Linked DNA regions of Alligator mississippiensis. The protein of the gene in region 3 interacts with the protein of the main gene of each other region in a pairwise test. Links are inferred from orthologs where the notes say so. Each region holds a gene or a part of one and is shown on either strand. Other genes may lie near its edges. The genes, in order: KPNA6, KPNA5 and NUP50.

What was found.
Region 1: the proteins of NUP50 (region 3) and KPNA6 interact in binary tests that used the Homo sapiens proteins (3 or more experiments, as listed by UniProt). The two-hybrid records come from large-scale screens. The link is inferred for Alligator mississippiensis from reciprocal best matches to the Homo sapiens genes NUP50 and KPNA6.
Region 2: the proteins of NUP50 (region 3) and KPNA5 interact in binary tests that used the Homo sapiens proteins (3 or more experiments, as listed by UniProt). The two-hybrid records come from large-scale screens. The link is inferred for Alligator mississippiensis from reciprocal best matches to the Homo sapiens genes NUP50 and KPNA5.

Annotation. Positions count from the first base shown.
Region 1 is NC_081829.1:5,509,045-5,519,185, forward strand, and holds the start of KPNA6 (importin subunit alpha-7), read left to right. Parts: upstream 1-5,578; 5' UTR 5,579-5,683; coding exon 5,684-5,687; intron 5,688-10,141. Other genes in the region: protein FAM229A, read left to right, coding at 1-53. UniProt on the Homo sapiens protein: Functions in nuclear protein import as an adapter protein for nuclear receptor KPNB1. Binds specifically and directly to substrates containing either a simple or bipartite NLS motif.
Region 2 is NC_081824.1:101,706,656-101,716,941, reverse strand, and holds the start of KPNA5 (importin subunit alpha-6), read right to left. Parts: upstream 4,132-10,286; 5' UTR 4,026-4,131; coding exon 4,022-4,025; intron 2,314-4,021; coding exon 2,180-2,313; intron 1,460-2,179; coding exon 1,358-1,459; intron 1,272-1,357; coding exon 1,172-1,271; intron 1-1,171. Other genes in the region: ZUP1 (zinc finger-containing ubiquitin peptidase 1), read left to right, coding at 4,340-4,664, 7,322-7,429, 9,021-9,130. UniProt on the Homo sapiens protein: Functions in nuclear protein import as an adapter protein for nuclear receptor KPNB1. Binds specifically and directly to substrates containing either a simple or bipartite NLS motif.
Region 3 is NC_081827.1:134,202,064-134,211,697, forward strand, and holds the start of NUP50 (nuclear pore complex protein Nup50), read left to right. Parts: upstream 1-5,271; 5' UTR 5,272-5,427; intron 5,428-5,483; exon of another isoform or gene 5,484-5,673; intron 5,674-9,286; 5' UTR 9,287-9,296; coding exon 9,297-9,365; intron 9,366-9,634. UniProt on the Homo sapiens protein: Component of the nuclear pore complex that has a direct role in nuclear protein import. Actively displaces NLSs from importin-alpha, and facilitates disassembly of the importin-alpha:beta-cargo complex and importin recycling.

The DNA.
Region 1 (10,141 bases), on a different chromosome or scaffold from region 3:
CCATTGACGTCTACATTGCCATGGGTGGGAACCGCAGGCCGCGGACCACCTAGCGGTTCCCCCAAGTTGGACTCGAGTGCTGAGGCCACGGAGGCTGCCGCCAGCAACGCCCCGGCAGCCGGAGAACAGCAAAGGGCGCCACGCAGAACGGTGACGCACATTTTAATAAAAGGACGTCTTAGAATGTTCCTCTGCATCGGGTTCCTCTGCCGTGGCTCCCGCCAAGAGACTTGGCAGGGCCTCTCGCCGGTGCCTGGTGCCTGGGGTCTCGGCAGGGAATGACCGGCTCCAGGTTTGTGGAGGAGGTTGCCTGGCAGAGGGCACTGCTTGTGCGGTCCTGGCTTGCTGCAGAGGCTTTGGCACCAGGCTCTATCAGAAGCTGGTATGATTTGCTCCTGACAGTCTTTGGGTTCAACCTATGTGTCTCCCCTGCCCCTGCCATGGCTGCCTCTCCCTGCTGGGCTACCTGGGGCTGCTTCCCAATGCCCTTCTAGAACACTGGTTTGTCCCCAGCCTGACCCTCCCATTCCCATCCTCTCTCTTCCAGCCCTGCAGCATCTGCTTGGTACCCAACTCAGCAGGCGGGCAGGCAGCTCCTGCAAGGGCAGAGCGTGGGGTGCCCTGGTTCCCAGGCTCTCCCTATTCTCACTCTGGCCTTTCTGGTGGAAGAGGAATTGGACGGACCCTGCACTGGCTGGCTGGAAGCATAGGTAGCACTAGCAGCCTCCTCCCCTGCTCCTGCTGGGTTTGATCCAGTCATGGGGAGGAGTGTGGGGAATGTATTTGAGCACAGAGGTGTTGCTGGACAGCCTGGGTTGGGGCAGAGGTTGGTGGGGGTGACGAGATTCGCTTTAACGGAGCAAGGAGGGTGAGGTTCGGAGTGTGATCAAGTCAGTGGATGGGACTGCAGGTGGTCTTGGATTGTGCAGGAGCTGAATGCTGGATGGGTGGCTGGTAGCAGGGGAGCCTCCCATAGCGTGCACTAGCACAGGGGCTGCCCACCCCCAGGGGAGGGAAGGAGGTGGCAGGGAGCCAGCAGTAAGAGCATGTTGTGTGCAGGCTGCTCCAACCAGGGTTCCTCCAGGGCTCTGCTCTTCATCACTTGGGAGGTAGGGCACAGAGCGCTGCTGCCTCATCCCTGCCTTCCAAATGTGGAATCACTTTTATCCTTTATATCTCTGAACCGCCTGTGAGTTTTGTAACCACCTTTGTTGGGGGAGAAAAGTTCTTTAATCCAGAGCTTTTCATAGGCAGATGTTGAGATGTCTATGCCTTTGTTTCTCTTGGATGCACCAGGGGTGTGATTCTCCCCTGCATTGCACCAAGGGGCATGAGTAGCCCCCTGATTTGGCAGCATTTCAGGCCTGCTTTGCATGGGTGGGTTGGCATTTGTTTGCTTAACATCCACACCATGGAGTGTGTGTATTTGGAGCATGTGTGTCACAGCCATGCCTGGTGCTCTTAAGCAGAAAGGGGGAGATTCGTGATGGTTCCCAGGTCCAGTGGGCCTTTGTGGCAACAAGTTGAGAGGTCCATCTCCCACACGGACAGGTTTTCTCCTTGTGGTCAAAGCAGTACTTCTGCTGTGATAATTAGCCTTCTTTCTGCATGTTTTCTGCCTCTGGCCAAAGGCATTAAGCTAGCAGTTGCCAGCTCCTCACCTGTTGAAATTGGAGGCTTCCATCCTTTAATTCTACTCTATCAGGCATGAATTGGTGTTGGAGCAGCAGGTCTGTCACGGGTGTGGGGGCTGATGTGTCTACCTCATTTGACTTGAAATGTTTTCCTGCCATCTTGGCCCCCCATGCAAAGATGAGAGCCCGTCAGAGCTCCATATAAAGGGAAACCTGGCTCTGCAGGCCACGTGCCACCCCAATGAAATTACATCTTCACTAGCTTCCACGTGCTGGGGGTTGGAGGACTCCTGCCTATGAGGATGGGCTGTGGAGCATAAGGTTCCCTGCCAGCAGCTGGCACAGAAACTCCGTTTTTCCATCAACTTGCAGCTTATGCTTTAACATCCCTGGTTCCTGCTGCCCTGGGGTTGAGAGCAAAGCTCAGACAGAGAGGAGCCTGGCAGCAGATGTATACCATCTTGTGCCAGAGACTATAGGGAGCTTTGTCCCCTGCACCCGGAATAATAGAGGTAACATCATTGGATTTAGCAGTGCGCGCAAAAAACGCCTTGTGTTGCCGTATGTTCATCTTGGATTTCTCTCCTCTCTTCTCCAAGACAAGGGATCATTAGATCATCCAGTGTGACCTTGGCAATGCAAAGACAAGAGTCTGTCAAAGCTCCTTCCACAGGGAAAGCTGGCATGTTGTTATGTTTTGTCCTGCTATCACTGCATGGAGCCCAAGGGCATGTTTAGCTGAAACTCTGTTTTAGAAAGCCATGCAGTCCTGCTCTGAAGCCTCAAAGACTGGAGGAGCCAGTGCTTCCCCTGGGTGGTTTGTTCCAACAGTTCATTCCCCCACTGCTAGACACTGGTGCCTTCATCCTAGCTTTGAATTTGGCTGACTTCAGCTTGCAGCTGTTGGGTCTTGTTCTGGCCTTTTCTGATTCAGATAGTCTATAAGGTGTATCTCTACCTTGCCTTCTGCCTTTGCAGCTACGTTGGAGAAAGTGTTAGTGTCTTAGTGTCACTAGGAAGGTTTTTATATGTTGAAAATCAAATTGCCTCGATAGTCTCTCGGATGTCTCTGTGCAGCACTTCCTTCAGCCCTTCGATCATTCAGGGGTTCTTTCTGCACTCTCCCCAATTTTTCAAAACTTTTTTTTAATACAGATGCCCAAATGGGGTGCGGCATCCTGATATCTACATCATCAGTGCCACGTGCAGCATCCTCCTCATGACTGCTTCCTTGCTCTGGGATCTCGTTTTGAGTTGTACACCCATTAGGATCCCTACATCCTCTTCAGAGTGGCTGCCTTGCAGAATCCAGTGCGCCAGCCTGGAGGCACAGCCTGCAGTTTTTCTTCCGGGACTTATGAACCTTGCATTGGGCTGCCTTTAACGACATTATGTTTGAATGGGTGCACCAGGTGATTCACTAAGGCAGCTGGTTCCTGCCCTAACTCAGCAAAAGGGTGGAAGGTAAGAGTGCTTGGGGCCCTCTGATGGAGGTCCCGTATGAGCAGTCTCACCTGATGGAGAAGGCTGGAACAGACCCCAGCCAAGTCCCAGACTGGGGAGCTTCAACACTGCACAGCAAGGGACCCTGGTGTAAGAATGTGCCCAGGGGCTGCTCTCGCCCGTCTCCTATGCCAGAGGGCTCTGAACTACTTTGTTTTCATTATTTGCCATCTGCCACAATTGATTTCATATTAACCCCTGGTCACCGTCAAAGCATATTGTCCTGATCCCTGAGACAGCGTGGGAGATCCCTTCCCCCACTTGAATCATAGCTCCCCACAGGTAACTTTTTTTTTTTTTCTTTTTTGAGATTTGTCAGTTATGCAGATATTGGTCCATCACTCTCATGTTGCTATTGCACTCAATAAAAGCAGAATGTGCAGTTCCCATGCTACCTGTGCCTGGCCAAAGTCTGCCGGTTGTATTAACTCTGTTACTTTTCCCAGCTCATGTGTAATTTCCAAAAATCCCATTTTTATTGATGAGGTCACTAAAACCGCACTGGCCAGTACCAATCCTGTATCTATTCCTGTGCTAAAGGTCACCCCCTCCTCAAACCCTGCTGTGCAAAGGCATCTAGATGGAGCAAGCTGTGTCCTACAATCACCGGAGTCCTCTGTGACTGCATGAAGCAGACTGGGGGGGAGGCATTCTCAGAGGCATATTGTGGGGCAATTATTACACTTCCTGGTCACATCTGCATGAGACGCTGACTGCACGGTAGCTCGTTACTACACAGTAGCATTGCGTGGCACAAAGTGTGGTGCGACACTACTGCGCAGGTGACGTTACCTAAAAGCCATTCAGCAACGCTACTGTGCGCTGACTCCAGGAACTGCACAGTGATTTAGTACTTATGTATGCAAGTACTGCACAGTCAGCATCTTGTCATATATGGGATAAGGAAAGCTCCTGCTTCCAGCTGGGAAGGTAGCATCTGATTTCTTCCTCAATGCTGCTCCTGCTTTCCTCCTTTCCACACCGTCTGGGGGAGGCTCGGGCTGGATCCCTGGTCTGTGGGTCAGCACCGACCTGCCCGCCTGCTCTCTAGGTGTTGCAGCAGGCTCTGCTCTGAGTGCAGAAGAGAGGCAGGGGGGAAAGCCACCCCTAGGCTCCTTCTCTCCCTTGGGCCCCTTGCTATGCAGTGTCAAAGCTCCTCAGGCTGGGGCCTGCTTCAGCCTTTTCCACCAAGTGAAGCTGCTTTGAAGGGACCCCTCCGAGCTCCTGCTCCACCTTTGGGCTGGGCTGGGGCAGAAACCAGTTGCCTTAGTGAGTTGGCACGAGCCTTTCCCAGCAAGATCAGCACTGCTGGCATCACACTGCTGGGGAGAGCGGGGACAGAAATGGAGGAACTAATAGCACCCCTTGCCTCTGCCAGCACATGTCAGCCATATACATCTCCCTCTGCCCGCAGAGAAAAGCAAACAGCCATTTACCCTGGGTCTGAGCACCAGTACCTTTCTCAGGCGGGAGGGGGAGAGCAGTTCCCGGGTAAAGGCAGAAATCTCTCTCTCGTTATTGGGGTTAGTCCTGGGATAAGGAAGCTTTCCCTTGGTCTCTGCTCCAGTCTGGCTCAGGTGGCTGCTGCCCCTGAAATCTGGCAGGTGGGCAGCAAGCTGCTGCTTTGGCACCAGGCCCTGGCAGACAAACAGCCTCGTACAGCATGGTTGGGTTAATGGCACTTGCCCCCTTGGGTGAGGACAAGAGCCGGCCAGAGCTGGGGACTGCCTCCCCTTCACCTGGTCCCCGAGACCAGGGCCCTGCCCTGCAGTGTCCATGGAGCCGGCCCATGGCCAGTGGTGCCCAGCAAGGATGCTCCCGCGGGAGCCGGGGATGCCCAGGCAGGGAGTGCACACAGTGCCGGATTTAGGCTTAAACTACTTAAGCTACAGTTTAGGGCCTTGCAATAGAGATTTCATAGGTGTTAGGGCCAGAAGGAACATCAGCAGATCGAGTCTGACCCCCTGCCCGGGGCAGGGAAGGGCGCTGGGGTCCGACGGCTCCAGCCAGGGGCTTGCCCAGCCTCCTCTTCAAGACCCCCAGGATAGGGCAGAGCACCACCTCCCTCGGGAGCCCCTTCTCCCTTGAGAGCCCAATAGGAGGGGCCTCTAAATGAGAAGAAAAACCCCCAAACCCTGGGCATTTTCACTCTATGAATGTATATTTCATGTATACATTTCAGGTGTATATTTCATGTGTCATAATGTGACAAAAATATACCTCTGCCTAATACAAGAGGTCCGATTCACCCAAGGAGCCTTGTCTGCCCTCGGTATATACAGCTCCATGCAGACGTAACGAGGGTCCCGCTCTCGCGGGTTACCTTCGCCCCCTTCATGCGCACGGAGCCCGGCGCTCCAGCGTGTCGCTGCCGCCCGCGCCGGGCCGCCAGGGGGCGCGCTGTCCCTTTAAGAGGCGTCCGCATCGCGTCGCGCGGAGGTTTGTCCGCTCGCGGCCGCCGTTTCACCCCCCCCCTCGCTGCCCGTCCGCCATATTGTGGCCGCCGCCGCCTGCGAGCCGGAGCGTCGGAGCCGCCGGAGACAGCGATGGGTGAGGGCCGGCGCCGGGGCCCGGGTGGGCGCCGGGGGGTCCCCCTAGCAGGGTGCTCGCGGCCCCGGGGGCGCTGTCTCATTCCCACGGAGATCCCTGCGCGGGCCGCGGCCTGGGCCTGCCCCGGGGGTGCGGGCCGGGCCGCGCCGAGCGGCGCCCGCCTCCCCGGCGGGGCTCATCCCGCTCTCGGGAACTCGTCTTAAAAAAACCCGCGGCCCCGGAGCAGGCAGGACCGAGCCGGCTTCTTTCCAGCGTCGCTGCCCTGCCCGGCCCGGCCCTGTCGGCTCCCGGGTGTCAGCCCTCAGGAAGCGGGCCCGAGCCTGGGCGCAGAGTCGCTGCGTGGGGCTGCCTCTGTGGAGGCGACAGGGAGCAAAATACCCGCGTGCGAGTCCAGGTGTCCCTCGGCCTGGATGTGCCAGTTCGCCCTCGTGCCCCGGTTTCGTTACCCGCGGGGTAACCCCGCTGTCACGCCGTCCGTGAATCGGGGCGGGGGGGCGCCGAAATGCAGCCTCCCGCACGGACCTGGCTGCCTGCGACACGTCTCCGTGACAGGGACAGCCGCCCCCGCCGTCTGCTATGGGCGAGCCCCAAAACGGTCTCGCCCGAGCCGTCGAGTTGAGGTCTCGGAGCGTATCCGATTTTTGCGTGTCTCCGCTTCTATAACGCGCCCGTCTTGAAGCGCTCTCAAACTGTCCTTCTTTGAAAGTGGGTTCCCTGCATGTAAATTGGAGCTGGGCCCGTTTTCCAGCGAGGCGCGTACGGCACGAAGCGAGGGAAACGCGTCTAGCGAGCGGACGGTGACGGGTCGCTCTCCGTAGGAGCATCGTGCTGCGCGTCCTTGATCTGCTCTCGCTTGGCTGGGAGCGAAGGCTTTCGACGCCGGGAAGGGCGAGACCGCCCTTTTTAGGCCCTTAATGAGCCAGGCTGGAGCGGGGGGGGGGTTGGATGACAAGCCAAAGCAACCCGGCTGAGCGTACCGCCGGCCGGCCGGCCCCTCTTGAAAGCCAGGGCCGACTGCTTGACGACGGCGCTGTCGAGCGAGGTGTCAAAGGAAAGGCCGGTCTAGTTGCAAGTCCCTGGTTCTGGGCCCTGCCTGGGCAAAACGGCCTTTCCGGGATCTTTTATTCCACCTCCCAACGCCGCTTGCTTGTAAAACCATGACTTAAAAAAAGCGGCGCCGAGAGCAGGAACGAGGTAGCGATGGAGCTGTGCCGTCCGGGACGCTGCCTGACGTATCGCAACTTGGATGTCAGCTCTTGACCGGAGGTTTGAACTGAATTGAGGTTGGAAAGCCGTCACTTGGCTTCTCAAAACAGAGGGCGAACGCAGGGGGAGCAGGCCCCCTTTCGTGTGTCCTGCTGGTCTGTGTTACATGATTTACGACCCCGGCTAACTCAGCTCTCTGGATGAAAGCAGTTGAATAGAGTAATTTAGGCTTTACATAAAAAAAACCTGCACTGGCAGATCATTGAGGCAGTGGTTAAGTGCTCAGTTTGGGTATACCAAAACAGCCGATGCAGGTAATGTTAACATAACAGAGGGACAGAGCTAAAGAGATTGCTGTATATAGCAGTGTGTGTTATGTCCAGCCCTGCGCAGCAAGCTCTTTGCTGCGCAAGCTGTGCACACACAACATAGAGTAGTGCACCACGCTTCATGCTGACACAAAACTACTTGAGACAAAAACTTGGGCAGCTCAGTTAGGTGGCTGCTTTGCTTTGCATATGGTTGTATGGACTGAACACTTATTTGTGAAATGAGTGTGGGAAAGGGTCAAGATAAAGGCATGGAAATAGGATCTCTGTTCAATAAACGATTTACAAACCATTGCGGAAGGCAAGTAAACTTTAGGATGACCTACAGTCTGGGGGTGGGGTGCATACACAACACTATCTAAGTTTAACAAATTGGGTATTAGCAAAGATTAATGTTGGGCGTTTTCCCTTGTAGTCTTCTTGGGGAAGGAGTTTCAAGGCAACCTGGAATGGTGAAATGCTTGGAGCAGGTACAAACACCAAGTCTTAAGTGTTTGGTTTAGACAGAGGCCTAATCCCCTGGTTTAAGTGCTATTATACTACTCCAGCTAAGATCAGCTTGGTCTTTATTATGCCTTTGTAGATGCTAGAGCCTGTCTATGTATGCTGGGATACTTGTCTTCTGCACGAAGCGCGCAGCTCTGTGGAGAAAGCGACAGAAAAGACCTGGAAAATGTAGGAGGGTAAAGAAGGTATCCAGGTTGTAGCTATATTGGTTTAGAGGAAAAAGCGATTGGGATTGGTGGTAGAGGTGATTATATCTTTTATTAGACCAGCTAGATTTTTGCAAAAAAAATCTCTTTAATTGCAAGCTTTTGGGCAGACAGTTGAATGTGAAAGTGAGTCTTTGGGGACTGGCTGAAGAAAAAATGGCAACCTCTGTGTTTATTCCCTCAGGCCTCTGTAATCTCAACCCAAACCTTAACAGGATTGAATTTGGTGAAAGACCAATATACCAAGTGACGGTGAATTCCCTAGAAGCAAACCTTTGCTTTTCCTCTCCCTCTGCAGCCAGCACCATCAGCAAAGTGGCTGTGCCTTCCAAAAATGAGATCACATCACGGGCTCTCGGTAGCTAAAACAGAAGGGAATGAGCCAATGGTGACTGCTGCACCAGACAGCCAAAATAATTGCATGGATAAGCGTTTTACTAGCACAGAATGTGCTGTGTGCACAGCACACAGCTATGGGATCCAAGGCAGGCTGTGTTAAGACAGGTCTTAGCATCCACTGAATTAACGGATGTTCGTTTGTATTGAACATTCAGGAAAGAATTTGCCTTGAGAAGGTAAATGTGGCCCAGGTACGAAACAGAAAATACCTATGGTTTTCTCTTCTATTTTTATTTTTTTTAATAATCTTAAACTTTGTTTTACTGAAACTTTTTCTGAACAATGCCACATGTAACACTTAATCTGCGTATCTGAAATATTGGAGGGAAACCTCAGTTTAATTTCTCTGATGGTTTCTCTGCATTACTTTGCTTTTTCTTGCAAGTGAAACCTCACTGGTACAAGAGGTGAGGGACGACTTGAAAATGGGTATTGGAGCTAAAGAGCAGGTTCAGTAAACCCCCCCCCTTATTTAGCTAGTTCTAGAAAGGCACTAGATTGAGTTAATGTTGTCCCTTCATGTGTACATGCAGCTAACTCTGTCCTGTGTATATATTCTTCCTGACAAGCTTAATTAGATGGTCAGATATTTCTCAAATACAACTTTAGGTTCTTTTCCCTACAACCTTTGACCGTGGTGAATTCTCTTAGTTTAGTTACGAACTATTCAAGGAGAGAGTTTCTTAGACAAATGTTGACAGGTCCTTATCTGTAGCTGCTGCTGGTGAACCTATGGAAACTATCTGCTAGCTGGTAAAGCAGGACTCTGCATTCTTCTCTTATTTACAAAAAAAAAAAATGATGTTATCCACTTGCATTTAAAAAATGATTTTTCAATTCCATTGTATTTTTGATACTGTTCTGAATTTTGTAAGGCTTTTATTTCTGTACCACCATTCAGGTTATACAGATCTTTCAACAATCAGGAAACTAATTGCAGAAGTAATGGTAAAAGCACCTTTTTTTAGTGCTGTCAGTCACACAGCAAAAGGATTTTCTTTCCATTTACTAACTTATTTAGTTTATCCTGATCCCAGGTGTTACTTCTACCTATAGTTATTTAATTAAAAAAAAAAATCACAAAAAAACGGATGTGGTCTTGTAACTGTTGGCTTCTCTTTTATATTTTTAAAGAAATTACAGTGATTAGTGTTAATATATTGGCTAGATCAAAGGAGGAAAGGATTACATTCCTAAATGCTTCAGGGGCACTTATTGGTGTTCCATTGTCTCCGTGGCTTTGAATGGTTCTGTTTTGCTCACCGAATGCAGCAATTTTACTGCGACTTCCCAGCAGGAAGCACAGTCTACTGCTATAGTTTGAAGGAAGTGCCAATTAGTGGTTGAATGCAAAAGAGGTTGGATGTTGTACTAGGATGCATTTTACTAGAAAAATGTATTGCATTTCCACATCTCCTGCCATTTGGGGATCTCAAAGCATTGTACAGATACTAGCTAGTCAAACCTAACAATTTAGTAGGTGCTGAATAAGTCCAAGGCATTATCTTACAAGATAACAGGACATTCATCTTTCAGCGAATCAAGTTTCTCTGAGAAAGCAGAAGAAAAATGCAGTTATCAAGACTTTTTGTAAGAAGTCGGCTTTTGAAGGCACATTATGTCTAAGCCTTTGGACAATTTAACAGGTGATGGACAAGCAGGAGTGTCTGGCTGACTTAACTTTCAGTGCCCAGCTATTACCTCTTGTATTCAGTTAAACAATGACAACTGGTGATAAAACTCTATGCAAGGCAGAGATTGGCAAATCTTTCATTAAAAGAAAAAAAAAAGACCACAGTCTTTTAAG
Region 2 (10,286 bases), on a different chromosome or scaffold from region 3:
GGTTGTGTCAGAGTTGACTCTGTAGCTGTATGGGATGGTTTGGATAGAGATGATTCTGGCTTAGGCAGGGACTAGATAAGCTCTGGATGGTCCTTCCAGACCTACTTCTCTATAATTCTATGAGATGCATCAGTCACAATCCTCAACAAAAGCTGCAAGTGCATTTTAATATTAGCAGCCGAATCAAATTTTTCACAAAAGTAAACACTACCTTGCTTGAGAGTTAAGTATAGGTAACCCTTGCATAATGCAGCTTCACTTACCGCAGTTTTGCTATAGTGCTCATTTAAAATACCTACCTGGTTTCACTTAGTGCTCAGCATGTTTCGCTATAATGCTGAGTGCAGGGGTGGGGAGAAGTGGTGGCAGTGTCATTGAGTGAAGTGGTGAGTGCCAGCAGGGGCACAGGGCAGGACAGCAGAAGCACAGGGTCCACTCTGGCATGTGATATTGGAGCGGGCAGGGAGGAGCAGCGGTGGTGTAAAGGGACGGGCAGGGGGCATGAGCGCGGGGCCTGGATCAGTCCCCAAGGCCACGGCTGGCCAGGCCCAGGACAGGACGGCAGGAGCTCAGGGTTCACTCTGGCATGTGGTGCTGGAGCGGACGATGGGTGGAGAGGAGCAGCAGCAGCAGTGAGAAAGGGCGGGCGGGGGGGTGTGCTGGCAGGGGTTACAGGAGCACAGGACCCACACAGGATCCCAGGGCCAAGGCTTGGGGGCCGGCTGGAGCACAGGGCCCAGGCTGGCAAGGTGGTGCTGGAGCTGCCAGTGGGCAGGCGGCAAGAAGCGGCAGAACCAATTATATTTATTTACATTAATTTCTCTAGGAAAATGGGTTTCGCTTAGTGTGTTTCCACTTAACACTCAGTTTGTTCAGCACCAATTAAGAGTGCTAAGCAGGGGTTGCCTGTACTGCAATGATTGCTAAGTGTGCAGCTATTTGTTCTGATACTCTAATCAAAATGTCCTTGATTTTCTTCCTTTGTCTAAAAGACTTAACTTTAGAATAATAAAGGTTTGCATGTTAACTGTTATGTTCAAACGAATTTGGCATTCATGTGATATGAGAGTTAGAAGCATTAGTTAGTTCTGTTTTTGAAGAGTGTAATAAATTCAAGATATAATGTTTATGAACAAATTTGAAGAAAGAAAGCAACACAACACTGATTTACCTTTTGAAAGCAGTTTTCTAAATTTTTGGGTTGCTGTAAGCTGCTGATCAGGATCATCTGAGAAAATCATCTGCACCATATCTGCTGTAATAACTTCTTCCTTTAAAAAAAAAATTCAAAAAATGACATCTTTGCAGTTTTCAGTACTTCGAAAGCACACTTCAAATGGAATTCTGAAACACTCACCTCTGGAATAGGTACAGTAGAACTGACATCAGGATCTTGGATAGGGCTTTCTACCATAGATTCTTCATTTCCCGGGAGAGAAACATTTCTGCGTTTAAATAACTAAATGAAGAAGAACTAGATAAAGTTTCACGTTATTACGTTTTCCAAATGCCCTCCCCTCCCACCCAAATTTAAGGTAAACATTCAAAGTATGCAGTGCCACAAGCAGCTACAGATGTTTTGGTAAATTTGAAAAAAAGTAAATTTCAACAAGTAATCAACAAGTCACCTTTCCTATCACTGAAGCAAATGGGGATCTTACAAAAAAAAAATTATGAATTTTGAAGGAGATGCACAAAACATCCCCATAATGTACATAATGGGACAAACAGCAATGGCTTCACTCATGCTATACTTTAGCTTGTATGATTCTTTTTTAAATCAGAACACTTGACACATTTTTAAATGCAAGAAAAAACCCTAAATCCTCTTCTTTAAAGTCTTGCTATTTTAGTCAATATTATTTAAAACATATTTTAAAACGGAATGTAAATCACTCTCTCAATGAATTAGTGGACTAAGACTCAACCCTGTGTTCAGCGTTTCCTATTCAATACGTTAGGCCTCTCTGCTCTCCTGTCTCCTCTGGATCATACTGAGGGGTGGTTTAATGTCTCCATGAATTGCATATAGAGCATGGCCACCCCCATTTCCCCTTAATCCAGGGCCAGACAACAAAAAGCATCTCAACGCCCTTTGTGGATGCCAATCTACATTCACAAATATTCAGTTATTTAGTTAACAGACCATGTTTACTATGTTTCAGAGTAAGAGACCTACTTGCTCTTCCCTTTTTTGTTTCCGAAGCTGGATTCCTTCTTCTTCTCTTCGTCTACGCATTTCTTGAGGATTGAGTGCATTGTTCTTGTAACTTTTCATCCGATAATTATCTTTTCCTGGGCTTGCCATGGTGTCTATAACAAAGAACAATGCTTTTACGTAAAAGTCTGTATGTTATGAGATACAAGCAGCTGCACAATCTCTAGGGCAAGAAACTGTCATCCTCTGACAGTGGATGGCACCTACTCCATTCTGAAAGACAGGCTGCCTAAACAGATACATTTCCTAAACCCTGGGTTAGGAAACAATGTACTCAACGTAAAACAAACAATTAAGGAGCACTCAACCAGCTCCATGTGACAGCACCTTCCTTGTGGACAAAGTAGGCTGGAAAAAGCAAGTTACCTTGACATGGGCAACGTCTACGTGAAGTTTTCACAGTGAAACCTGCCAAACTGATTATCACCTACCACACCCCCAAGTATGGTAGCTTGCCTCTCTTCTCTGACAGGATGTCATGTTGATGGCACCTTGGAAACAAGGGCAAGACCAAGGTGAACTGGGAATGATAGCATTTGGTGCCCTCCCTTCAGCTCTCACCATGCCCAGCTCCTTTTATGGTGCTGGTACCTTCAGCCTGAAGCAGTGTTGCCAGGTGTTCGATAATTATTGTATTTAAACAATAATTTCACCTGTTGTGCGATGTACGATCAACAACAGTAAAAGTGTTTAAAATCTACAATATTTTTTGAGGTAGCTCATTGATGCAGAATATGCAAAACCCAAGTCACTCTAAGGGAATCTTAACCAACTTCTGGGTTTGCAGTCAGCACTTTCTTATGATGGCTTGCCTCGAAATAAAGAAATGCTTCAACTTTGATGACCCAGTTCTCACTCACTCATTGCTGACTTAGAGTAAGCAATATGAAGTAAATAAGAAAATTTATTTGTGTACTTATTTACGTTTTAAAGTATTTTTTCAGTGTGCAATAGTTTTTCAGCAAATACAATAATTTTGAGCTTCCAAGCTGATAATTTCACATTAAGACCTGACAATGCTGGCCTGAAGGGTCTGTAACCAGAGCAGACCAGGAAAGCTTATGGTCTCTGGGCCGCTGCTGCCAGATGGGGTAAGATTCAGCCAAATCTTTGCAAACCTTGCTACGACTGCAGCCACCATGCACCTTCCCAGGCAGCTGGACCCTCCTTTCGGATTGCGAACACACAGCTTGCCCTCCCAAAGGGAGGAACTGAGCGCCGGGGGCAGCCCCTTCCCTACAGCTGACTCCCTCCACAGCCAACCCAGGCCAGTGTTACCAGGTGCACGACAATCATCATGTTAGTAGGATAATTTCAAATCTGGTATGACCAATGATAGTAAAAACGTGCAAAGCGTACAATCATTTGTGAGGCAGCTCATTAACCCAAGTCACTCTCAGAGAGTCAATTAATTGAGTGTTGGGCTTGCTGTCAGCACTTTCTTAGGACTGCTGGCCTCCAAATAAAGGCATGCTTCCACTTGGATGACCCAGTCCTCTCTCATTCGCTGACAACTTACAGACAGCAATAGAAAGTAAAGAAAAAGACCACTTATTCGGATGCTTATATGTATATTTCTCAGCGTACGCTCGTTTTTCAGAAAAAAGGACTACTTGAACTTCCCAACCGATTATTTCATATTGAAGACCTGGCAAGGCTGCCCTTCAGGGCCGGCTCCCCCTCCCCCCGGACAGCCCAGGCCGCCCCGCAGAGGCGCGGGCAGGCGGCGGTCGGCCCTAGCCCGCAGGGCCGCGCTCCGCGCCCCTTGCCGAGCCCCACCAGCGCCCGCCCCGCTGCTCTCACCCATGGAGGCGGTGCCGGAGGGAGAGGCCCCAAAGGCCGCCGCCCGCGACGTCTCGCAATCCAAGATGGCAACCCCGCCCGCCTTGCGAGCCCCGCCTTTCCTCCCAACAGGCCCCGCGCGCCGCGAGTGACGCAGCAGCGGCCAGAGCCGACAGCCCAACACAAAACCACAATTCCCGTCATGCACCGCGCGCAGTACTGTGGAAGCAGGCGCTTTGACCGCGCGCGCATGCGCCCTGCTGCCACAAAAGCGGAAGCAGGAAGGAATTCAGTGTCTGGGCGTTACTCGAGCCTTGCAACCGGTTGCGCGCCTCAGGGATGCAGGTGTGCGACGTGTGCGGGCAGGAGTTGTTGTCGGAGTCGGAGGTGCGGAGCCACCTGGCGCGGGTGCACCTGGGGCCCGGCCCGCCCTGCCCGTTCTGCGGCTTCCGCGGCGGCGGCTACGACCAGCTGCGCCGCCACATCGACGCCGCGCACCCCGAGCCGGGGCCGCAAAGCTCCCGCCCGCTGGGGGCTGCGACGGCGGCGCCCGGGCCCAGCCCGCTCGCGTGCCCCCTCTGCGGGGAGGCGGCGGCGTCGGCCCCGGGGCTGGAGGCGCACGTGCAAGCCCGGCACGGCCGCCTGCTGCTCGCCACCGCTCCAGGTGAGGCCCAGCCCGGGGGTGACGCCCGGACCCAGCCCCGCTCCCCGCTGCGGTCTCCAGAGCAGGAGCTGCCCTGCAGTGAAGTGGGGGGCTCATGCCACAGAGTGGTTTGGGACATCACGGGAGGAGCTAGGAGGCCTCTCACGTGGGTCTGTGTATCTTACTAGGGCTCTGATTAGCATAGTAATCATGGAAAGTTATGGGTGGCAGGAACCTCAGGAAGTCATCTAGTCCAACCCCTGCTGAAAGCAGGACCAGCCCCAACTAGATCACCCCAGACACAGCTTTGTCTAGCTGGGTCTTAAAAACCTCCAAGGATGGAGATTCACCCCCTCCCTGGGATAGGGAGAGCCAGAGGCAGGGCAGGCACTGCGAGAAGTGGTTTTCAATAGAGTGTTGTGTGATGCCCCTCAGGTGCACGGAGGTGGCAGCCAAGTGAAGCTGCCCCGTGTGCAGGGCTGTGGCATGCACGCTCCCGCTGTCTGCTGGATAAAGCCAGGTGCGAGCAGAGCTGTAGTTCTGGAAAGGGGGTGCAGGCGGTGAGGTGCAGTCTCATATAAAGTGACATGTAAGCAGAAGAGAGAATCCCTAGCTCCTGTGGAGTAAAGAGTTTAGCAGGGATTTGGTAGATTAGGAGCCATGAAGTCAATTGAGTTAGGTCTTGCTATGAGCTGGAGATTACACTAGATGACCTCCTGTGGTCCCTTCCAGCCCTCATTTTCTATGACTCCCTCTGCACGAGCTGACTAGAAATGCTGTTGCCACTGCCAGGGTGTTGGTTTTAAATTCTGGGTGGAGCAGGAATCAAAGAGGGGTGCAAGTTTATCTGTGCACTCTCCCCTGGATCTGCCCCCAAAGCCAGGCCGAAGGTGCGGAAGGGGGAACTTTCATCACTACTATGTACTACATCCTTTTGTAGCTTCTGAGGAAGTCACGTGTTAGCAAGGAAAGCTCATGCCTCTCAGAACCAGCCAGCCTCTAATGCAGCACTTATGCAACTTTAAAGAGTCAAGGAACCTCTCCATAACTCTTTTAATTTGCATTTTCTCCACTCCCCTCCTAGAAACAGGGACAGTTGCACTGGTGCATCATTGATGTCAGGAGGAGCAAGGGTAGGGGGCAGACCAGGAAAAGCTGCGCCCCAAGCTAGCTTTAGGGTTACTAGAGAGCAGGAGGAGTGTGCACATTCTGGGCTGGCTGTACAGCAGGCGTGTGGGGCATTTTGACTTGGAAGCAACTGCACTCAGTTTAGAAGCACTGAGGGAAGGCGAGGCAGCAGCAAGAGTGGCTTTCATCCAGGGGTGCCACCACACTCAAAAAAGTGTTGTAACTACTACCTTACTTGCTGACTGGTTCAGAGATGCTATGAACATGGAGTACGGAAGGTACCCTCCTGCCCTTCCTTCTGACAGCTTCAGATTAACAAGCTAACTGCCTCTGCATTGGTGAATAGGAATTGTGTGTCAGGTAGAACTAGGTTCTCTCATTGTGTCACCCTTGACTGATTTCAAAGTGCAGTTATATGTATCCTTTTAACATGTGAAACACTGAAAATATGAAGGTATATAGAGTAATATAGCTCCATAAATAATACTAGGCATGTCTCTACTGGCCCCATTAATTTAATAACATACTTGTTAAACCTGGAAGAAACTCCTGCAGGATTTCTAGAGTGCTGCACAGCTTTGCTGCGGAATCTAAGACTCATTTTCCAAGGGAAGCCACAGGCTTGGCTTACTGACTCTTAAGAGCTCTTGCTTGCATTTAGTGTCATTTGTCGTCATATTCCTGTACCAATGTCCCTCAGTTCTTACATGTCTGAAGATGTACTCAGAGTGAAACTGAACAATTGATAAAAGAAAGCACATTCTTGTCCCTGCGCTAAAACTGTTGTTTGTTTTAAAAACTCAGTGGGATGCCAAAAAGTTATAGAAAAACTTTTTTCAATGTTGGTGCTTTCTCCCTTATTAAAGCTTGAGCAGAATCCTACTCTGGCCTTCTGGTTCTTCAGAGATATTTGGTAAATACAAGATAGACAAGCTTTTATTATTAGAAATGTATTTCTAATACCAAAAAAATATATATTTGGAGTTATGATAAGGAATCTCCTGGCATGCTTAACAGAGGATGATGAGTAAAGAACAAACTCATTTTTTCTTTGTTGTTTCCATGACATCTGTATTATATCTTCGAACATGAAGGCCAGAAACTCGTTTATGAAAAATGAGTTGTTCCTTTCCTGGATCGTTGAAATATCTGGGACTGAAGAGTAGATATTTTAAGTCTATTTAAGTCTGTTTTATAATTTAAGGTGTCTGGTAACAATTGCAATCTTCTATAGTTAAGTTAAACATCATATTATGCTTGATGGGAAAAATAAGATCCCTCCGCTGACTTGTTCTTAAGAGTTTACTTTTATTAATGTACAGGTAGTATGTGCCTTAAGGCACATATTCAACACACTCTGTTGAATTCATGTTACTAGCAAATTCTATTTTTTATTTTAAATAAATGCAAAATGAATTAAGTAGTAACTTTTTTTGTCATAGAAAGCACGTGATTTGCTGCTTTTCTTGTTTGGATTTTATGAAACAAATAATTAGTCCACCAATCTTAAGCACAGTACTACTCTCACATAATTTGTTTTTCAAATACAGGAAACAAACAGCTCTATGAATGTCCAATGTGTGATCTTGTCTGTGCAAGCCCTCAGATTCTCCAAGAACATGTTGACTTACACTTAGAGGAGTGTAGCTTTTCGGAAGGTAGGTGGAAAGATCAAAAGGTGATATTGGCAAAAAGCAGTTAAATTGGTTCTAGGTTTCATACCTACAAAAAAACAATAGTTTATACTTTGCTTAAAGTTTGTCTTGGTTATTTAACAAATTGGTATTTAACGTTATGGCTATGTCTGTGTTGATCCCATTTTCAAAAATGAAAATCAGTTAGTAGTAAATACCTATAGCTACAATTTTACAGCACAGAACAGTTGGTGAAAACAGCACTACCTGATGTGAAACTGCTAAGGATATGCATTGTGTATTAAGTAAAATGTAAACATGTTAATAGATCTACTTAATAGTTTTAATATTCTCCAGCTCTTTAAAATATAACAGTCTAATATCACACATCTTGAAATTTCACATAGACAAGTATCCACAAGTCAGATGATTTTAAAAAGTCATTTTTGGCATCTCGGATCTAAATTACCCATGATTACTGACTTCTGACAGAAAAAGAATGATTTATCAGCTGTTTCTGTTCTGTGATATTTTTTCATTAGTACTCCAGCTCTCTCCAGCTCCTGTGAAATTCTGTTCAGTCTCTTACCTCAGCTCTCTGTGTTCACTTTAATCTGTGTCATTCAGCACTTCATGGACCTGAAAGTTTGCCAGTAAGCTTCCTGGTCTTTTGAAGTTAAGTCCAAAAGATGTGGGCTTCTCTTTAGCAAGCTCAGGCAAGAAAGAAGGCTGAAGCTAAGGGCGAATGAAGCAGATCATCTGTGCAGTGATGCGGTTTACCCAGATGCAGCCCTACAGATTCCAGGGGTGGTTCTGTGGGTCCTCATAAAGAGGTATTGGGGCACTGGGGATTTCTCAGGTCCCATTCCTCCATGCCAGGAGCCTGCAAACTTTCCTCAATTCAGAAGATTGTGGACAGGTCTTTGTAAGATGAGAACCTCGGCTTCCCTGTTTTCTCTAAGTGGGAAAAGCTGGACAGATGCTCTGGGGGCTTGAGGGACTCTCAGGCTCCCAGAACACGTGTCTGGCAGCTGGAGAGTACATATACAAATTTTAATGGCAGCACAAATGAGACATCAGGTGACATCTGTTTCCACTGTGAAAGAGCTAATCAGAGAAGACTTCTTCCTTACTAATAGAGGGGCAGGTTACTTGTAACAGCTCTTACAATCCCTCCAATAAATCTGTACTCTTACTTGAGTTTAGGTGCACCTTCAAAATTATTAATAATTTAATAAATGTGGGAGTTGTCTCCCAAAAATATTAACATACAGTTATCAGGTACTTCCTGTTGATGTACTTACAAACATTTGTACAAACTCTTCCAATTAAATCAATGTTGGATGTCAGACCAACTCGCTTTTTACATGATGTATTATTAAAATGCAAATGAATAAATATTCCTTAGCTTAGAAAGGTTCTTTCAGTTAAATGTATCCCTGCATCTGACAGGTATCTAGTTTCTCAAAATCATTCTCAAACACTCAATCTAGCATCTGAATTCTTAAGTTCCTTTTATAGAGAGAAAATTACATTTACTATCCTCTCCCTGTTTGTGTACGCAAATGAAGTTAAATATAAACTTTGTCAACTCTTTCTTGAACGTTACTGCTAGGTATAAATGTAGGTGATTTAGAATTGGCTCGGCAGCTCCAAGAGGAAGAAGATAGACAGCAACGATTAGAAGAAGTGAAAAAGGAGAAGGAAGAATTTAAAAAACTACAGGTACAGAAAATTTTCCATGGTATTCAAATGATAAAAACTGGGGTTGGGGGGAGAATTATCATCACCAGTGGGGTATCTTGGAGTTGTGTGTATTCTGCTTGGGTGTCTTGCTGTTCACCAATGTTCATATTATTATGTCAATTAAACTAAGTGCAGACAGTTAACTAATAAAATAAAAATAATAGAGCTGAAATTCATTCTTTTGACTTTGATAACCATTCTGTATTTCAAAGGTGAGACTTGGAGCCATTTTCATGAGTGAGAACATTTGTCCTTATTTTCTGTTGTAATCTGTGGTAGTCACTTTGCAGGATCACCTGAACCTAGAGTTTTTGAATTTGGTACCTTACATAGACTGTAGATGTATGCAAAGAAAAAGTGTGCGCATCATAAATTGGGATTGTACCATAAAGTATGTCAGAAGTAATGATATGTCGGGAAAACAATCTAATAGATTCATAGATTCTAGGGTCGGAAGGGACCTCAATAGATCATCGAGTCCGACCCCCTGCATAAGCAGGAAGGAGTGCTGGGTCTAGATGACCCCAGCTAGATGCATATCCAACCTCCTCTTGAAGACCCCCAGGGTAGGGGAGAGCACCACCTCCCTTGGGAGCCCGTTCCAGACCTTGGCCACTCTAACTGAAGAAGTACTTCCTAATGTCCAATCTAAAACTGCTCTCTGCTAGCTTGTGGCCATTATTTCTTGTAACCCCTGGGGGCGCCTTGGTGAATAAATACTCGCCAATTCCCTTCTGTGCCCCCGTGATGAACTTAAAGGCAGCCACAAGGTCGCCTCTCAACCTTCTGTTGCGGAGGCTGAAAAGGTCCAGTTTCTCTAGTCTCTCCTCGTAGGGTTTGGTCTGTAGGCCCTTAACCGTACGAGTGGCCCTTCTCTGGACCCTCTCCAGGTTATCCGCATCCTTCTTGAAGTGTGGCACCCAGAATTGCACGCAGTACTCCAACTGCGGTCTGACCGGTGCCTGATAGAGGGGAAGTATCACCTCCTTGGACCTATTCGTCGTGCATCTGCTGATACACGATAAAGTGCCATTGGCTTTTTTGATGGCTTCGTCACACTGCCGACTCATGTTCATCTTGGAGTCCACTAGGACTCCAAGATCCCTTTCCACTTCTGTGCCACCCAGCGGGTCAT
Region 3 (9,634 bases):
CTACACCAAATGGAGGAAGAGTCTGAGGCAGAAACCTCAGTACTTTGAAACCTTTCAATAACAACAGGGGATGGAAAAGCGAGAGCAGCAGAAACAGCATGTCATGGACTAAATCAGGACTACAGTGCCACCTACCCTACACAAAAAAACATGTCTAAGCTGCAGTAGAATCTGTCAATCCCAGATAGGCCTTATCAACCTTCTTCGGATAATCGGAAGACAATCATCCTTGACTACGAGAGATTGCTGAAGAAGATTTAAAGGGAATCTCTTCATACCCAGTTTTGACAAGAACATGATAAAGATTCATACATCTATATAAAAGCTGTGAACATATCTGATAAGCTTATTTAGTCTTCTTTACTTCGTGAAGATGATATGTCAGCAAACATTTCTTAAACAGTTCTAAAAAGGATATTGACAAAGCTGAGTTTCAAAGCATAACCTGTTGTTAATGGTTCTATTTTGTTGCAGCCACTGCAGTTGTCATGTAAATATAATATAAGCATAGTGATCTTTTATAGTTGCATGCCTAGATGCAGATACTGCTTTCACACCAATGATTTCATTAATTAGGCTTTCTTACAGACAAGAGGACTACCTGAACAGAACTCAGTGCAGGATTGATAGACTACAAAATAAGGCCCAAATCCAGCAAATATTTATGTCTGTAAATAGTCCCACTGGATTTAACAAGACTACTCAAAATGCATTGTGTTGCAGGACAAAGGCCAAGATTTAGTGCTGTTACATTGAGTGAGACTTGTAATTATATATTAGGCTGTAATATTTTGACACTCGGTACAAGAAAGTAATGCAATAGCTTAAGACCACACAGAAGTTACCAAAAAATTGCTGTATGTACATCATAAAATAACTTAGAAATTGATACCTCTGCATTTTTATATAGCTGATTTTGTGACTTACTACAGGTGGAGTATCTTTAACAGTCAAAGTGTAGTGAACAATTATTGATTGACATGATTTTCAAATAGGACTACAGAGTTTGGTTGCCTCAGTTTTGGTGGTACCAACTGAATAAGTCTGATTTTCAAGAAGTGCTGGGTACCTACCATCTGTAAATAAGGACCCATTAAGGGGTTTAACGTTGGGCTTTATTCACTGGAAAAAATCACTAGTCACTTAAAAAAAAGACAATTCTGCTATGAAAAAAAATTATGATCCCATTACCATAATTTTCTTTTTTCCTTCCGGTTTATTATTCCCTTTGCAGTTTATATTAGAAAAAATAAATTTTCCTCTAACATAATATGCACCTATCAGAAACATGACTGTATGTAATATACATTGTTGTTGTTATTGTTGTTGCAATATAAATTTAAATAAATAAAATAATTTTGCTCTATATACTCATATTAATTTTATTAAACATCCTGTGTCTGGCCTAAAAACTATTGGAACAGAAACTATTATTTATTGTGTGTATGTGCTTGTAGTGTGCTTAATTCCTGTTCTGCTAAGTACTGTATAAATACTTAACAAAAAGACATTTCTGGACTTTAAACTTTTACAGTCTAAACTGGCAATAGTCTTATCTTTGTACACTGTAGTAGTCTCTAGAATAGTGGTTCTCAACTAGGGTGTCATGGGAGCAGCAGCCAGGTAAAACTGCTCTACTTGTTCCCCATTTCTAAGCCTAAAGCAGGCAGCAAAGCTCTGTCATGCAGTGCAGTGATTTGTGGTCCAGCTCCTATAGTTCTCCCAGAAACAGGCCTGCGTGGCACTGTCCCATCCACTTTTAGTTCTGGAGATGCGTAGGGGTACCAGAGCAGGTAGGATTACACTGTAGGGGGCAGCTTCTGTCTGCTTTAGGCTGATCTGAGAGCATTAATGCAGGGGCAGTGCATGCACATGGCCCAACCCTTCCCAGGCTGGCTGTGCAGCAGGCATGCAGGGCAGTTCCATCTGGGTACAAGATAACCCGGCTGAGAAGTACTGAGGTGAGCTGAGGCAGAACCACAGTGGTTCTCCGACAGAGGTACCACCACATTCAAAAAAATGGAAGTGGGATGCTGTGACCCTTAAAAGGTTGAGCAGAGCACCACTACTTTAGAGTCCCATTTTGTTAGCAACCGTACAGAGAAACGAGTTCCTTCCCAGGAAAGCTTGGAGTTCTGGATTCTCAAAAGGTACAAGAAGTCAAAAAAAGACAAGACTGGTTAGAGTGAGAATACAATAGGAAAGGCAGACATCTTTGCATAAGTAGTCTAAGGGTTTTTCTACGTAGGGATGTGATATCAGATTATCATTCATATTACAGTGCCTTGCACTTACACACAACTACACATTTTTTTTATAAATTTTTATAAATTACCAGGCACCTTTTGCTGCAGTACTTAATCCTCTTTGGAACAGAAATAAGTTGATTTCAGAGTCTGTTCATTTTAAGTTCACAAGAACACATTCCGTACTATGCTTCAGACAGTCATCTCGTTGCTATCACACATTGTATGGCTTCACACTTGGATCAGGTGCCGAATTTTCACATCCGCATGACTGACCCATTGCTTTGTTAAAATAAAAACATCCTTCTACGTCTCCTCAGGACCTACCTGAAGAAATCAGGCTCCAATGTAGACAGGCTGCAAGGATGAAATTATTAACCTTTTTCTGCCTTTCTCTAATTGCACCCTCCCAGCACTGGTACAAGGGCACTATTATAACAGGAAAGTAAGTTGGAAGACACAAACATTTCAGAGTGAATTGCAAAACTAGGAAATGCAATTTTTTATCATTTTTGGCACGGGGACTAGTCCTTTCTTTGTTTCCAGGTCCTTTTGACAAGGTAATTTAGCAGAATTTGCAGGTTCATTAGAATTTGACAGGACCATGCCACAAGTGCCTTGAATTTGCTGTGGCCTTGAATTTGTGACCTCTGAGCTGATAGCCTTGAGTTTATGATCTCTGGGCTGTCAACCATGTGCCTTGGTGTGCCTACACCACCCCAGCCTCCACGGTGACTAGTACGAGGACAATCAATTGGTAATTTTTGTGATTTTCCTTAGCACTTGCAATGTTATGGACTGCCCAGAGCCCTTCTCATCCTAATAAAAGGCTGCCAAACCCCCAAAGTAGATAAACGAAGACAAGAGCTATTCAAGTAGTTTGTGACTGCACCTAACAAAAGGTCATAAAAGCTTCTGCCTTTATAGGGTTATAGGGAAGATTTATTGAAACAATCCTTATGCTTGAAACGTGGTGCACATCAACATATTTCCAGTCATGTCCTTGGTTACAATACATTCATTATCTCTCATTTACCACCCTACCCTATTTCTCTTAACATTTGGAGCATTTTCCAGAGGCCTCGCTTTGGCTGTCCATAATTTTCAGGAAGTCTCTCCACTTCCAGTCCTTTTTTCCCCCTGAGCTGGGAACTACCTCCTTTATTTTCACAGATGTTTTGCAAAATTCTGCAAGCACTTTTCACTAGAAACATGTGAGATGCATTTGGCCTTTTCATGAGGCTCAGCCACCTTCCCTTGCCTTTCACACATATTACACCTACATTAGCAGCTGAATGGCAATGAAGTGTAAAACAGCTTCCTAAACTCATCCAAGTGACCAGCAAAAAACTTCACTAACTAGAGAATTAGAATATAAACTGGAACTTCTAAAACAACAGGAAGAATCTTAACTCTATTAATGTTGATAGTGATTTGAGGAACAAAACATTTTTTTGTTCATTCCAGAAATAAGGAATAAATTTCTAATTATCCAAGAGGCTATTTTTGTATCTTTGTGAATTTTCAGAGTTTTTGTCATTTATAGATCTTTTCCTGCCCACCCTGCAACCTTCATTGGTGATTAACCTAAACTTGCAACATGATGGAGAATTCGCCTTCCTGTTGATAAAAGTTTTTGGCTAGTGTGTGAGGCTAAGATGGCTTGAGGTTCCCATGTGTATCCCCATATGGTTTTGCAACCTCCTCTCTGCAAGCTCATCCTGTACAATAACTAAGGATCTACCTAAGTCGCTGTGAGAAAATGAGTTTTTTGCAGCCTGCTTGTGGTACACAGAGCTGATTTTGCAGAGGCTCTGCCTCCCACTGCTGATTGGCAAACAGCGCCTTCGTTCCATCTACATCACTACCACTTTCTCTGCTCCTCTGGACTCCTTCCAGTTTGTCTACATCCGTCTTAAAGACTTGTGCCTGAAATGGGACATAATACTTCAGCTGAGGCATCACTAGCACTGTACAAATAGTTACTTGTGTCATATACGTGGCAGGCCTATTAAAACATCCAAAAATAAAACCTTCCTCTTTTGAAGCACTATCACAGTCTTGACTAATATTCAGTTTATGATTACTATAATCTTCTGACCCTTTTCCCTCTACCTGTCCAGTTATACCCCACTGTGTATCTGTGCATCTTTTTCCCTTCAACAGAGCTGTACTTTGGGCATATCTTTACTGAATTTAATAAAAGCTTCAGCCATTCTTAAAAGGTAGTCACATTCCATTCATCATTTACCTGCAAGTCCTTTAGCAGAAGAGGCTGCTGGCCAATTACTCTTCATACAAAAAGCTTTCTTTTTAATTGTTTTCCATGTACTTGCTGTACTATTAATTTAACCAAATAACCTTGTGGGAAATTTATTATTTTTGTGTGCAGTGCATTTTACCCACTCACTATTGTTCAGCTATCTACTTGGTTTTAAGAAGTTAATTCCTTTTCACAATGCCAAGAGCCTGGAATAGGAATTTGAGTGGGTCTACTTCTGAATGAGACACTTATTCAGGTCTGTAAGCAACTGGATAGGCAGCAGAGAAGTACTTTTTCCAGATCCCTAATAGATAATCCTCAAAATGGGAACAATGGAAACTGACAGATGTGCAGGCCCCTGCTCTATTCATGGTGCTTTACATGAAGCGCCATAATTTAGAGCACCTGCCCCCCGCAACAGATGTTCGCTTGTTGGGTTAGGGGTGGTGGTGATTGAATCTGTCTGCAGCAGACAAGCTGCCTGTCTCCCCCAGCCCCACTCTGCCCCCCGATGGGGACACAGCAGACACTGAAAGAGAGCGCTCGCGCAGACGCGTGCATCAGAGAGACGCCCTCTCATCCGAGCGAACAACCGCAAGCACCCCCACCCGCAAGGCTCCGCAAAGAACGCAGCCACTATCCTTTTCCAAGGAGCGCGCGGGCCGCGGGCCACGTGACCCGAATTCGAACGCCGGGCGCGCCACTGACGCAGCAATCTTGCCCGTTTAGCCCCGGCACGCATGCGCGACTCGCCCCTCTGAGGCCGAGCCCTCCGAAGAAGCCTGCACGTCTCTCCCTATTGGCTGACTAGGGGCTCGTGACCCGCTGTTCCAACGGCCGCCCGCGACTGGGGTCCCCCCTCCCCCTCCAACTCCTTTTCGCCGCCTCATTGAGCGTCAGCGGCGCGGGCCGAGGCCGGTGAGTGCGCACGCGCGGGAGGGGGGCAGGGGGTGGCTGCTGCGGTGGTTACCGACCGTTCCCCTTTCCCCAACGGTTCCCCCCGGGCTGGAGGAGGCGAGGGCAAGATGGCGGCCGCCGCCGACTGAATCGGGACGCGGAGGGCGCTCCCGGGGCCGGGGATGGTGAGCGGGCTCGCGGCCCGGACTCCTGGCGGGCGGCACCCAGCGTCTCCTCGCGGGACGCAGCGAGGCCCGACAGAGGGAGGTAGGTGCCTCGCGGGGTCCCGTCATGAGGGGCTCTCCCTTTCCCGGAAGGTCCCGCCCGCGCGGCTCTGCTGGGAGGGGCCCGGGCCCGGGCCTGCCCACGACCTGACAGACTTTAGCTGTACCACGGCCCTGGCCGGCTTGGGGCAGAGCTTGCCATCTCCCAGTCGTGGCTGCGGGTGTGTGTGGGAGCGCCCGCGCCCTCCCAGGGCTCTGGGTCCCTCTGGCCCGCGGGGGAGGACGGTGCACATGGGGGGAGGGGCACCCTCCAGCTTCTTCCCTCCTCTCTTTCCGGACGCTGAGCACGGGGATTTAGCAATACCTACTTCATCCCGGCTCTTTTGGGGAGTCGGATCAAAGTCTTGGTTTCAGGGAGTCAAAAACGGGGTGCTGCAAGCTTTACATTTTAATTCGTTTATTTATTTTTAATTTGTTCCAGTGCAGTTGGTTTTTGGTCAGGGTACATGTGGCATGTGCATGTTTCACTTCCTGTGCTTGGCAGGCCAAGAAGCAAAACACCTGCCTCACAAAGCTATTGATTTAGTGCCCAGAGCAGAAATCAAACCTGGTCAGTTGCTGCTGGGCAATCAAGTGAACATTAGGGGTTTACATTTCACTATAAAATCTTTTCTCTAAAATTTCTTTATAGCTTGAGGCAGGTTTTAATTTGCAGGACTAGTGCTGGGACAGCTGGGTGTTTTTGGGGGGGGGAGGTTGCCTTCAATTGTCTAATTTTAGACTGTACATTTTGGTGTGTTTTGAAGTTGCCAAGAATCTTACGACTGCATTTTCCGATATTATTTTAGATATCAGTATGTTGTATTATAACTATGGGCACCTTGTTGGATCGGCTCCGATATAGGGAAAATTGACAGTATTGGACATCGGGGTTTTTTTTGCTTGGTGTGGTCAATAATACGGCTGATAAATAAATGCCCCACAGCCACAGCATGCACATGGCCAGGTGCGCAGCCCTGCAACATGCGCAGCAGCATTTGGGGTTGGGGGAGGGAAAGAGTATGTGGGGAGGCAGATTAAGGCCCCCACAGTGAGGGAGGGAGTAGGGCAGGGGCAGGCACTGCACAGCTGGGGTGGGGCACGGGATAGAGTCGTGTGCAGTTCATCCATGGGGTGGAGGCAGCTCCTGCCGCTCTCTGTACCCCCAGGAGGGCGTGGGGGCATGTGCCCCCAGATCCGCAATGCGGGGTGAGGGCAGGATGCTGCTGTTTGCTGGGGCCAGGGTAGTGCTGGGCTCTTCCTAGCAGGGGCTGGGCTGCACTTGGGGTGAGCACCAGCAGCATGGGGGGGGCCTATGGTGAATTTCTGGGTAATTTCCCTGCCCTATAACCCCCCTCTGCTACCCACCCCAAGGGCAACCTGGTCCAGCCCCCCCCCCTCCCCCCCCCCCCAAGAACCCAGCCCAGCTCACAGTAGCATCCCACCCTTACTCCCCAACGCAGATCTGGGCCCCCTCCCAGGGTGCACGCAGGGCAGGAGCCACCTCCCCTCCCCATGTCCCCCGGACAAGCCACTCACAGCTCTGTACAACCCCTCCCCAGCCCCATGTCCTCCCTCACCATGGGGGCTTTGATCTGCCCCCTTCCTTTCTCCCACAACAGCCTGACTTACCCGCCGGACGGACACTGATCTCCAAGCTGCTGGGTTGCATATTGGATTGGTATTGGCTGATATGGCTCCTTAAAAATCGGCCATTGGTATCAGCCCCCAAAATCTCTATTGGTGTACCCCTAATTTTCCAGGTGAACTTCTCCTCGGTTTTAAAGTAAATGCAGTTTGGTGATTGTTTGTTTGTTTGTTTGGCCTCACTCTCCATCTGGCCTCACTGTACAATTGCTGTGGTGAGAGCTGTGTGGAGAACACCTCTGCATGTGTACAAGTTATGAGGTAGAGAGTCTCTCATATCTCTGCTTTCTAATCCAAGAAAGAAACCTAGTGAGAACTCTGTTTAAATTCTACTTGAATGTGCCTTGGTTTGTAGTGAAAGAGAACCTCTTCTTTTCTTCCCCTGTGAAGAAGTTGTGTAAATGCATGTGTGTCTGAAGGAACACTGAGGCCAGTTAGCTTCTCTTGCTTTCTGATAAAGGGTACCAGACTTTTATGCTAAGCTACCCCTTACTTGTTTTTACCAGTGTACATGCTCCAGTTCCTTTACTCTTGTTGTGGTGACTAGATTTCCCATTCAGTGCAGAGAAGCAAGACTTCCATAATCTGCAAATAGCCTGCTTTTACATTAGTGAAGCATGCAGGTACATCAGACCCAAATGAATCATATGAAACCTGTCCCCTGATAACAAAAGTGGGGGCAAGGCAGAGTTCCATAGATTAGAGTACTTTCCTTGTATGTCAGATATTCTTGATTTGAGATCTGGCTCCTTAAAATTCTTCAACCCAGTTGTCTGTCCCTGGTTTTGGTGTGAAAATTTGGTGAGGCCATTTCCTAATATCATCCAAAGAGGGGTGCTTGTGCAAGCCTGCTCTGCAACTTCCTTTTGTAGCCTTTACAATACCCTGTCCCTTTAGGGAGGGTTCTTGGGACTTTTTTTTTTTTTTTTTAGTCTATTTTCCTTCACAGTGGTTAACCAGCTCGCTCTTTTGTGCTGGTGTTCTGACTTGCTTGTGGTTTGGATGCTGAAGGAAGCCTTCTGAACTTTGGTGATTTCATCAGTGCAGGAAATACAGGGCCCCAAACCTTATCTTATTCTTGTCCCTAAGCAAAGTAATTTAATTCTACTACTGTAATTCATGAATATTATCAACTGTCAGGGCTATATTTACTTCTGGAGTAAAAAATGACAGTGTTTCCATAGGAAATATCTTTATAGTTAAAGCCAAGATACACAGAGGCCAAATTTTTTAGGTATTTAAACAGATCACAAATCTTGGTTATTGTTATAAACTCCATTACCTTACTGAGCTTAAAGTAAGTTGTATTAGTGCAATTGACTTATTTTTAGCTTTCTAAAATAACCCTGCTTTCTATGTAGAATTTCTCACATATGTGTCTCTAACCTCAAACTTAAAATAAAATTCTAACACTGACAGTTTGCCAGGATCTTACCAAAGTAAAATGTGACTTTTAAACTCTGTTTTGCTGAGTACAAGGTCCCTTATTTCTCCGCAATAAAAGGAACTTTAGGTGGTTACTTTTCACTGTAAAATCTTCCTCCCTCTTAAATTTTAGAAGGTTCATGGGAGGTATCATAATTTTTAAAGGGTAACATGTATGCTCTACCTTTTTTAAGGTAGGTTTCTCATTTAACTGAACTGTTGTGGTTCCACTGCTGTCTGCTTTAGAGCTACTTGTGCGCTTTTAGGATTTGAGAACACACTACATACGTAGGCATCCTGAAATAAGTTTCAATTATCTTGAACAAATTTAGCATCAAATAGCAACTGTATACGTTAAACATAACTGAGACTTTATTCATCTTTTTAATTTTAAATTACTTTATTAAAGATACAAATGCACACTTCCCATTTTGTTCTGAGCAATACAAGTTAAGGAATATTTGAACTAGTATTTCATTCTGTGCAAATGTATTCTGTGCTAGTCTAACAGTTCACCAGATTACTGATTAGTGAAACACTTGCAGGTGTGGAGAAATGGCAAAGAGAATTGCAGAGAAGGAGTTGACAGACAGGAATTGGGATCAAGAGGATGAAGCTGAGGAGGTAAGATATTTCTTTTGATTTCCCTCCTTTTCCTTTGTAAGGTAAGGTAATGAAATGTGTGAAGTTCAACCTAACAAAGCTAAGTATAAGTTTCCTGATTCAAGTCATGTACCTGTTAAACTGGCTAAAGCTCAAGAACTCAAATCGGATCCGATAGTAGCTAGATAATAAAAGACCTCCAACGTAATGACAAGTGATTAAATCTCATTGCTCAACTTTTTCAAAGAAGAAAACAATTAAAAGTGCGTTGTTTAACTGTAATATAAAAT